Arabidopsis thaliana: one gene and its partner. The protein of the gene in region 1 interacts with the protein of each later gene in a biochemical or structural test. Each region holds a gene or a part of one and is shown in the gene's direction. Other genes may lie near its edges. The genes, in order: CDKB1;2 and HDA15.

What was found.
Region 2: the proteins of CDKB1;2 (region 1) and HDA15 form a complex in vitro, tested with the Arabidopsis thaliana proteins (one study listed by BioGRID).

The regions. Positions count from the first base shown.
Region 1 is NC_003071.7:16,150,692-16,154,812, forward strand, and holds CDKB1;2 (cyclin-dependent kinase B1;2), read left to right. Parts: upstream 1-1,781; 5' UTR 1,782-1,859; coding exon 1,860-2,493; intron 2,494-2,575; coding exon 2,576-2,645; coding exon of another isoform or gene 2,646-2,715; exon of another isoform or gene 2,716-2,800; coding exon 2,801-2,939; exon of another isoform or gene 2,940-3,082; coding exon 3,083-3,175; 3' UTR 3,176-3,395; downstream 3,396-4,121. Other genes in the region: AT2G38630 (Transducin/WD40 repeat-like superfamily protein), read right to left, coding at 3,592-3,827, 3,926-4,121. UniProt on the Arabidopsis thaliana protein: Together with CDKB1-1, promotes both the last division in the stomatal cell lineage as well as the number of stomata.
Region 2 is NC_003074.8:6,359,497-6,366,322, forward strand, and holds HDA15 (histone deacetylase 15), read left to right. Parts: upstream 1-1,679; 5' UTR 1,680-1,798; intron 1,799-2,056; 5' UTR 2,057-2,108; coding exon 2,109-2,243; intron 2,244-2,337; coding exon 2,338-2,523; intron 2,524-2,650; coding exon 2,651-2,753; intron 2,754-2,869; coding exon 2,870-2,934; intron 2,935-3,073; coding exon 3,074-3,149; intron 3,150-3,468; coding exon 3,469-3,533; intron 3,534-3,635; coding exon 3,636-3,691; intron 3,692-3,855; coding exon 3,856-3,979; intron 3,980-4,089; coding exon 4,090-4,215; intron 4,216-4,331; coding exon 4,332-4,382; intron 4,383-4,495; coding exon 4,496-4,564; intron 4,565-4,782; coding exon 4,783-4,891; intron 4,892-5,034; coding exon 5,035-5,114; intron 5,115-5,216; coding exon 5,217-5,299; coding exon of another isoform or gene 5,300-5,327; exon of another isoform or gene 5,328-5,380; coding exon 5,381-5,426; exon of another isoform or gene 5,427-5,507; coding exon 5,508-5,686; coding exon of another isoform or gene 5,687-5,690; exon of another isoform or gene 5,691-5,761; coding exon 5,762-5,903; 3' UTR 5,904-6,119; and 1 more. Other genes in the region: RTFL20 (ROTUNDIFOLIA like 20), read left to right, coding at 639-800. UniProt on the Arabidopsis thaliana protein: Responsible for the deacetylation of lysine residues on the N-terminal part of the core histones (H2A, H2B, H3 and H4).

The DNA.
Region 1 (4,121 bases):
TCCAAAGAGTCATGCTTAAATAAATCCAACCAACATAACTATCGAAGCTGTTGCAACACAACAATATTTGTCACAAAAAAAAAACAATCGTTTCAGATGGACAAGATATTCTAAAGTAAAGACTTGTCAAGCATTAACTTTGAAGAGAAGATTGTATTGGCTGAGTGATAGGGTTCTCTTCATCCATTGTTTTCTGTTTTTTCCTTGGTCGTCCTTGAGGTTTCTTGGGTGGTTTTGGCATTGCTTTACACTTGCATGAACGTTTGTTGTGTCCGACTTGTTGACAATTGCTGCAAGTCTAAATATGCAAAGATTAAATTTAATAATTTGAAAATGAAGATCTTGTGAAACATAATTCATTGTTCTCTATTTTACCATTTAAACTTTTTCACGTGTATAAAGAACTTTTTGAGGTGGACGATCTTCAGTTGGATCACGGATTCTGTCATTGTTCTTTGGTCGATTTTTGGAAATTAATATCCCATTAATATTTAATTACTATGGGGTTAAGTTTATTAACAGGTTTTAGTTCAGAGTTTGTTTTACTAAAAACATAGTTCAGAATTTAAAAATAGATCTGACCAAAGCTGACGGTTTTTTTCATTAAATTCCCTTAATAAAATGGTTGCAAATAAGTTTATTGACCCTAGTAAATCAGTAACGGTTTTTCATAATCAACTTTAAAGTCTTTAAGCCATTTTCTTTCGTTTAGTCAATGCCCTATCATTGAATATTATCTTTGTTTTCTTTTTCATTATTGTAATTTTCTTTTATGTATAGTAGTCCAATAATTTTTTAATATTCAGCCATTGTTTAGTTTCCACATGAAACACACAATTTGTTTATAATCTTGTTTTTCTTTCCCCTTTACATAGAACTTCTTATGATGATTTTTATGAGTTTGTGAAATTGCATACCTTGCACATTCGTAGACCTAGTCAGAATTTTTGTTGTTGTTGTAGTATCTTTATTGTAAAAAGAAATGGTTTTCTTAATGTAACTATCGATCAAAACTGATGCAATTACCATACATGAAATTGGAATGAGTGTAAGAAGAATATAAAGTTGAAATAAATCAAAAATGTGAAACTGAATCAATATCATATGAAGTTGAATCATGTATACTAGAAGCCTAGAACACAAGAAACAACCCACCATTAATGAATAATGAGTAAGAGTTCACAGTCCCAAAATAATTGAAGTTACAAATTCGAACACAAAAAATCAAACCTAAACATTTTTCCAATTGGTTGAGTAAGTGAAAAAAAACTACGTAGTAAGAAATTCTTTTTTTGAGTTTGTGCCAAACATTGAACATTAACGTATAAGGAGAAAACTAATGGGATACAAGCTAAAACAGTTATAGTCTTATTAATTAGTATGTTAAATACTAGATTAAAGTTAAAATGAAGTTGGAAAAGCTCGAAGTTTCAACCAATTAATGCGAAATGATCGACTCTTCAAGTAATATTAATAGTTTAGCAAAATAAATGACTGAAAAATCTTTATTATGGGTTGTGGCTGCAAGCATGAGCTTAGCTTTTTGTACTCAGGGCCGGCTTTACATCAAAGATCATGCATAGATTCATTCAACTAAACATTCACCATGGATAATGAATTGAAATCTATAAACATAATCAAGCAAATATCTTATACTATACTTATCTGTTTAAAATGACTTTGAGTCTTTGACTAATAAAATATTATTGGTACGTGTGAAGCGTGCGAGGGATTCAAATGTTAAACGTTATAGCAAAGAGGCGCCTTTATTTACCAGATCTAAAATCGAAAAGGGGCTTTAGGGTTTATAAGACCCAAACAAAAAACATTCATCAGTCTCAATTCAAAATCCTCCATCAATGGAGAAATACGAGAAGCTCGAAAAGGTCGGTGAAGGAACCTATGGAAAAGTCTACAAAGCAATGGAGAAAACCACCGGAAAACTCGTCGCTCTGAAGAAAACTAGGCTCGAAATGGACGAAGAAGGTATACCACCAACGGCTCTCCGTGAGATCTCTCTTCTCCAAATGCTTTCTCAATCAATCTACATCGTTCGTCTCCTCTGCGTCGAACATGTTATTCAATCGAAAGATTCGACTGTTTCTCACTCTCCCAAATCCAATCTCTATCTCGTTTTTGAGTATCTCGACACTGATCTCAAGAAATTTATAGATTCTCATAGAAAGGGCTCGAATCCTAGACCGCTTGAGGCTTCTCTTGTGCAGAGGTTTATGTTTCAGCTTTTTAAAGGTGTGGCTCATTGTCATAGCCATGGTGTGCTTCACCGTGATCTTAAACCGCAGAATCTTCTATTGGATAAGGATAAAGGGATTCTTAAGATTGCTGATTTGGGTCTTAGTCGTGCTTTTACTGTGCCTCTTAAGGCTTATACACATGAGATTGTTACTCTTTGGTATAGAGCTCCTGAAGTTTTGCTTGGTTCTACTCATTACTCTACTGCTGTTGATATTTGGTCTGTTGGATGCATCTTTGGTTAGTAATCAGCTACTATGTCTCTTTTAATGGTCTTTTGTTCTACTGTTTGGATTACTGATGTTTCCCCATTTTTTTGTAGCCGAGATGATTAGGAGGCAAGCTCTTTTCCCTGGTGATTCTGAGTTTCAGCAACTACTTCATATTTTCAGGTATTTGCTTCTTGTTTTTGATGCCAATGTGTATGTATACAGGAACCAGTTTAGGACTTTAGCCCATTAGGTTCAGTACTCGTGAACTCATTTGGATTATGGGGACTGTCTAGTATCAATATATCTGAAGTATGGTTTTGTTTTGGGTTCTGGAGATTGTTAGGAACACCAACTGAGCAGCAATGGCCGGGTGTAATGGCATTGCGTGACTGGCATGTCTATCCAAAGTGGGAGCCGCAAGACTTATCACGTGCTGTTCCATCTCTATCTCCTGAAGGAATTGATCTTCTCACGGTAATGCTCTTTTCTAAAATATGACCATTGTTGGAGAAGTGGCCTAAGATTCTCTTGCATACTTGATCTCTTTAGTAGATTCTTTCTGTTGGGGTTCGTTCCTAGTTGATGATAATTTGTTTTGAACCTTTGAACAATTGCAGCAAATGTTGAAGTACAATCCAGCAGAAAGAATTTCAGCAAAAGCAGCTCTCGATCATCCCTACTTTGACAGCCTTGACAAATCTCAGTTCTGACCTCTGCCAAATTACTGATCAGGCTTCTCTTTGGAGTTCTGAAGCTGATGGCTCAAGTTTATTGTCTTGGTGTCTTATGCTGTGTGCTTTAGAAAGATTTGTACTTAAACTAAACAATCTGAAAACCTTGTTTGTTCAGCGAGAGTGAGAGAATCTTCTTTAAGTGGCCAATTTTATTTGTTCATGTAAACAAGTCTATCAAAGCAAAAATGGTTAACCCTATTAAGCAGACAAATCATTAGTGTACATAAATGAGAGACGAATTTGAAATATTTGCTGTTTCATTACAACGACAATTGCTACTCAAACACACAAGTAAATTACATATCTCATGATATTACACAATTGAGAAACAGAACAAGATACAGAGATCTCTTGTATTAATGTAAAAAAAACAAAACAAATGATGAGTAGCTTCAATTAGACCAGACATGGAGGAGGCCGTGTCTGTTTCCTGTGTATATTTCATTCCGTTCTTCGTCGTAGAAGAGAGCGGTTATGTCTTCCAAAGCCTCAGCAACCGCACTTCTCCTTCGAGAGGAATTCCCCAAATCACTACTGCTGCAGTCCTCTTCCTTAGGAGGACCATTATTTGCTTTTATCTTAGCTAAGCATTTACCAGTCAAGATATTGCTTATGTTAATCGACCCCGCTACATCAACAACCAAAATCACGACAATGTCTCAATAGCAAAACAAAATCAGACCATGAGGTTTCTTGATTTGAAGAGTGGATGATGAGTCTACTTACCATTTCCTTCTATCCACTGATCTTCAGTATCTGCCTTGCAATATGAGATGATCAGATCTTGATCGCTTGTTATGTAGATATTGTTTGTGTTACAGTCTGGATGCCAAAGAAGATGATCCTCAAACGAGGTCACAAGCTCTCCGCGGAAATTCCACACAGAAACATTTCGGTTCCTGAATGTTAGAAACAACTGATT
Region 2 (6,826 bases), on another chromosome or scaffold:
AATGTGAATTGTGATTAGACCTAATTGTTATACATTAACGACATTGTGATCCGATAACTTTTGACTAGCTCGTGCATTTCTCTAAAGGCAAGGCATATAACACTTAGTTTCGTGATTTTTTATAGTCATGCAGAAGTTTTTAAACATGTATTTCAAAACAAACCCGAAAGCTCCTTGGAATTTGCATTTTATGTATTTATTTAGCAGTTAACCATAACGTTAGTTTGCATGTTCAATTTAAATTCAAAGAAATTAAGATGAGATATGGACGGTCTGCAATACCGTATGTTCTAACATAATATTCCAATAATCAAAGTGAATAAATCAATCTCTACCGATGATGAATCTTTGAACTGAAAGGAGACAAGAAAACAATACATCAAATATTTTCAACCATAATGGGAAGCTAGTCGGTCACACTTCACAAAGTGGCCTTTATTTTTGGGTTGTTTCGTTGAAGGGTCCCGAATCAATGGTAGGGAATACTTTCTCCTTATCTCTTTCTCTCTCACTCCAATATATATAATATGATGAATCTTCACTTCCATTTAAACATCACACAATCATCACACAATCACCCTGAATCCCTGATAATAAGGAAAAACAAAAAAGTTTGTTTTATAAACACACTTTAAACAATGAGGGAGAAGTACACAAAGGAGGAAGCAGTGAAGAATTGGGAGAAGAAGAAGAACAAGCCTTCTTCACCAAAAGGAGTTGGAGAGTTTCTGAAAAAGAAGAAAGGAAGGTTCTACATTATTGGAAAATGTATTACTATGCTTCTTTGTTCACACAAGTGATAGTCAACACACATTTTTTCATACATATTTATGTTATCATGTATAGGTATAGATGATGATAGAGGTATAAAAAGGAGAGAGAGCTCAACATATTTACATCTTTAACATTTCGGTGTTCATCTCTCATTTTATGTGGGTGTGTTCTTGTTGTCGTCGTCGTTGTTATATATGGAAATATATCACTCAATATTCTTCTTGTGAACTATATATATAACGGAATACTATCTCCCATAGTCCCATGTTTGTAGAATTAATATTAATGTATGAATAATAAATTCTTAGAGAAAAGACAAAGACGATGCTTTTGAGTACTATATGGAGATGCATGCACACAAACATGTATTATATAACAAAGAAATTGGATTCAGTACTTACAGTTAGAATTAGGTTAAGGTAAAAGAAAAAGGTAAGGGAAACAAATATCAGTCTCACATGTGTTAATGCGCTTGGGCGTATTTTGATTATGTTAGCTGGTCATTATCAGTTAGTTTAACCATTAGTCATTCTACAATCTGTAGTGTGACGTTTAATTACCTGATGATTCAAACATTTTTCACTATAAATATTATGAAGTTATCAGTTAGGTTATTTACCAAACAAAAATTCAATGACATAACAACTAAAGTCTCATTCCCTTTAAAAAATGGTAACTTTTGTAATCCATTTCGAGAAGACAACAAACCTAAATTGGCTTTGTGAAGTAAGATTCAGTCGTACTTTGCTCTTTCAATACTTGAACATTAATGAAAAATTCCAAGCAAAAGGAAATAAAAATAAATAGTTTGACTCAAATTTGGTAATGGGCTTATAGTGTTATTGGGTCTTCATCTTCAGCCCAAATAATCTTTTACTCTTTCAAGTCTGAACGTCGTCATCTTCGTTGTCGCCGTCGTCGTTTCTCTCATTTCTGCTCTGTTGTGCTATCGTAGCGTCGCGCTCCTTTAAACGCGACGGACGCAGCCTTCTCTGTTCATCGTTTCGCCGGAAGTTTTCTTCAGGTATGATATTTTGAGACCGTCGTTGATATTTTTATTCAGTTTCCATAGAGAAAAAAAAACAATTCCTGAGTTCTGGATCGAGGATCGATTTCGATAATACTCGAAGAAAAGTTGGGTTCTTCGTAAAGTTATTTGTTGTAGCTGTGTGTGGAGTTCTTTACATTTTCTTCGATTTTGATTTTAGCTCTTCGTATATGAAACTTTTTGATTTTTAAAATTTCTCAAATTGGGTTTTTCTTTGTTTCTCTTTTGGCACAGCGGAGATTTATTTTCAGCTGGTTAGTAGTTTTGAGTGACTACTGAGGTAACAATGGTTGTAGAAACTATCGAGAGGTCTTGTGAGGGTTCAAAGAGAAGACATGTGAACGGTGGAGATATCGCTGTTCCTTGTTCGGGAGAAGAGTGTAGCAATGGAGATATAAATGTAGCTCCTGGAGTTTCAGCGGTAAGCTAAAAACCATGGCTTCCTTTTAATGTATTGTCAGAGATTTGGTTGGTTCTGCTTTTGGTGATATTGGTCATTGTTGTGTCTTATGCAGAAAAGAGCTAGGGTTTCTAGAGAAATGACGTTTGAAGATATTTACGGTGCTGATGCATTACTCAATGATGACGATGATGAGGATGATGATTGTGATTGGGAACCTGTGCAGGCGCCTATGGAGTTTGTAAAATGGTGTTGTGTCAATTGCACTATGTCGAACCCTGGTGATATGGTCCACTGTTGTGTACGTTTTTTATTTACTTTTTCTTGCTTGGCTACTACTTTTTATGATTTCAAAGTGACAAACGTACGTCTGAGCAATGCGCATTGGACATTGGTTATGTATTAGTAAAGTTGATTCCTTGACGTAGATATGCGGTGAGCACAAGGAATCTGGCATTTTGAGGCATGGATATTTAGCGTCTCCCTTTTTTAAAGACACTGGTCTCATTGAAGTCGAGGAGAAATATGGAGGTAGGAATTACTTCCCTTGCTTCCTCTGAAAATGTCTTTATAAATATTGTTAGTCTCAGTTCCATGCTATTTAAGTAACTGTAAGCATGTTCACTTTTCTTTTAACTTGATATTAGGAAGCTCATCTGCAACCAGCTCGACAGCTGTTGGGTTCGACGAGAGAATGTTGCTACACTCAGAAGTATGATCTTGTTACTGTTATGTGTTATGTTTTCCTGAGAAACCTCTAGTATCTGTTGACATCTCTACATTATCATCTCCAAAGCTTTTCTTCGTGCAAGTTTTTCTATTTAATATGTGCTGATGGCATGCTTAAAAAGTTTGAAGTGAAGGCACAACCACATCCAGAGAGACCTGATCGTCTTCGAGCTATAGCTGCTAGTCTTGCCACAGCTGGTATGTTGCGTTTACTTCCTTTAAACCTAGCCTCTCTTGAGAAGAAGACTAATGTTTGGAAGCTGATTATTATTAAGATTTGGAGATCATTATATAGATCTCTTGCAGCCGAGGTAAGTTAAAACTAAAAAGGAAAATAATAAAATTCTAATTCTAAAAGGAAAAGATCAGAACATAACTTCTTCAATTAAGAAGCTTCTAGCGTCCTTGTCTACCTTCTCTGAGACTTGATCCCATATATCATATCATGTGTTTCATTTTACAGTATCATACTGTTGGGAGTAATTTTGGTACTCACCACGTTTGAATTTTTTTGCAGGTGTTTTTCCTGGAAGATGCTTGCCTATCAATGCAAGGGAAATCACGAAACAAGAACTCCAGATGGTGAGCTGCTACATAACTGTCTTAGAGACAATTCTAATATTATGTTCATTGCAGTACTTTTACAAGCAATTTCATAACTGGTTTGTATATGTCAATTTTGAGGTCCACACTTCAGAGCATGTTGATGCTGTTGATACTACAAGCCAGCTTCTCTATAGGTTTGAATTTTAAACCATTTGTTACTTTTTTTTTTGCGTTCACCGTGCATATCCTTGCTTGTTAATCTGACTGTTCAAACTTGAATTGAAATTTCCTTTACCTTCGCTGCTCCTCATTTATCTCTTTTTGCTCTTGATCCCGTTCTTTTACCATTGTCTGGCAGCTACTTCACCTCTGACACATATGCTAATGAGTATTCAGCACGTGCTGCTAGACTTGCAGCAGGTTTGTGCGCTGATCTAGCTACAGATATTTTCACTGGCCGTGTAAAAAATGGTTTTGCTTTGGTATGTCTAATTCACCAAAATTTTTAAATTTAAAGATGCAACTACACAATTGCTTTAAATTGAAATTACACCATATTAGTTTGAAAAAAAAAAATCTCTGATTGTATCAGGTTAGACCTCCCGGTCATCATGCTGGCGTCAGGCATGCTATGGGGTTTTGCCTTCACAATAATGCAGCCGTTGCTGCATTAGTAGCACAAGCAGCAGGGGCAAAGAAGGTGCTGATTGTGGACTGGGTAATGTTACTGATAACTCTAAACTGGGTGATTTTGTAGATCTTCAAACTTTTTTAATTCGTTGTACTCTGCATTGTGTGGTTTGGCTCATATCAATGTTATATCTACCGTTGCAGGATGTCCATCATGGCAACGGAACCCAAGAGATATTCGAACAAAACAAATCTGTAAGCTGCCCAAATCTATGCATGTCTGCACATCAATTTTGGAGTGTTGGATGCAGTAAATTATTTTTGTGAGTTGACCTTGTTTGAACTTATTACTGGGAGTCATTGCATAGGTATTGTACATATCCTTGCACAGACATGAGGGAGGAAACTTCTATCCCGGTACTGGAGCTGCTGATGAGGTACCTATGCTTTTCTGTTTTACATTGTCTCATCCAGCATTCATGAGTAGATTTAGTTGTTGGTATATATATGCATATACCTTATTTGTGTGTTTGGTTTGCATTATGATTTATGTCTTAAATTTTGGGATTATTTTCTAATTTCTGCCTTGTTTCCAAAATTTGAATTTTCTCTAGGCGGCAGAACAATAGTTTGCTAATGTTAATTATGGGTGCAGGTTGGTTCTAATGGTGGGGAAGGTTATTGTGTAAATGTTCCATGGAGTTGCGGTGGAGTTGGGGATAAAGACTATATCTTTGCGTTTCAACATGTGGTTCTCCCCATAGGTACAGAGTCGTTCTACTTTTCCCCATTTGATAAACGTTTTGGCTTAATTGATGACTAATATGCTCAGGAAGTGGACCAAATACATTTAGCTCACTTTTGAATGTGCACTCAGTCTAATTTTAACTGGAACCTTCTCTTGCAGCTTCTGCATTTTCTCCAGATTTTGTCATCATATCTGCGGGATTTGATGCGGCTAGAGGAGACCCACTAGGATGCTGTGATGTAAGCTTCATATTCGAGCTGTAATTTACCACTTCTGGAATCAGTGTATTGTTTTGTGGATATCAACAGAGGATAGATGTTCTGTTCTACTCCTTTTTTCAGGTGACTCCGGCTGGCTATTCTCGAATGACACAGATGTTGGGTGATCTGTGTGGTGGGAAAATGCTAGTTATTCTCGAGGGCGGGTATGTGTTTTGCAGTTTTTTGGAGTAGCCTCTTGGTTTGTAAGGAGCAGCTTTTGAATAATCTCCTGTTTTCATTTGCAGCTACAATCTTCGCTCCATATCTGCTTCTGCAACAGCAGTGATCAAGGTTAGTCTCTATTTCAAACTTGATATCCTTTAAAATCTGCATATAGTTATGGAGATTCATGATCCCGCTTAATCTATAAAGGTGCTTCTGGGTGAAAATCCGGAGAACGAGTTGCCCATCGCCACCACGCCTTCAGTAGCCGGCCTGCAAACTGTTCTTGATGTACTGAATATCCAACTGGAGTTCTGGCCATCACTTGCTATCAGCTACTCCAAATTACTCTCAGAGTTGGAAGCACGTCTGATCGAAAACAAAAGTGAGTGATGCTTCCCAAAAAAAAAACTATTTCATTCTTCATCCTTCTTTCTCCTAATAAAATCTCACTGGTTTTACAGAAAATCAGATGAAAAGGAAGGTTGTTCGGGTTCCGACATGGTGGAAATGGGGACGAAAGAAGCTTTTGTACAACTTTCTCTCGGCTCGTATGATTTCAAGATCAAAGTGATTTTAGAAAGCATTCTTCCTAATCCGTCGTAGGAATTGTCTACACTTACTTGTAACCCTAACTGATCTGGGGGAATTTATTGCAATTAGGGAGCTCTGAACAATCTTTATCACTTACATTTGGTAGGGTTTTATAGAAAGAACCCTTTTAACCTGCTTACCAACCATCCTCATCAGACCTCTTAAGCTAGGCAATCGGTTTGGATAAACGAATTCCTACTTTAACCAAATTTATAGTTCGGTTTGGTTTATCTTAAAATTATTGATGTCGAACCAAACCAAAAACAAATTTCTTGTTCATTTCTCGGTGTCCAAAATCCTCATTTTCCAATAATTCCGGTATATTCTTTTTGGTTTTGGTATATTTCAATCAATTTCAGTATATTTGACACAGTTTGATACGGCTAGGAAATTTGATTTACAAAAAAGAAAAAAGTAGAAGAATTTAAGAATATTTAGAAATTTATGAAAAACTAAAAGAGCTTCTAAATACGGATATGTTCAATCTTCCAAAACCAAACAAAACAGTTTTGTCGGTATTTTGAACCAAATCTAATTACCAAAATTTTGGCACTGTTCGGCTAAGAATATTAGTCCAGCTCTATTAAATAAGAACTTTCGAATAATCGCTTCGATTCAGATTAATTCTTTCTGATTTTAGGTAGATAGAGGGGCTATCGGTTAATTTCGATTATGAACTAGCTGAATTTTTGTAAATCAACCACATTTTATTTAATCATATGTTTGTTTTCTAAGAGAATTTGAATCTAAAAAACCTTGTATGTTTTTAAAACTTTTATAAAATCTTTTTAAAATCCTTGTAAATCCTTCAAATATTTCAATAGAATCTTTATAAATTCTTATAAAGCCCTTTAAAAGCATTTGTAAAAAACGTTAAAAACACTTGTAGATCTTTTTTAAACTCTTATAAAATCTTTAAAAACATTTGTAAATTC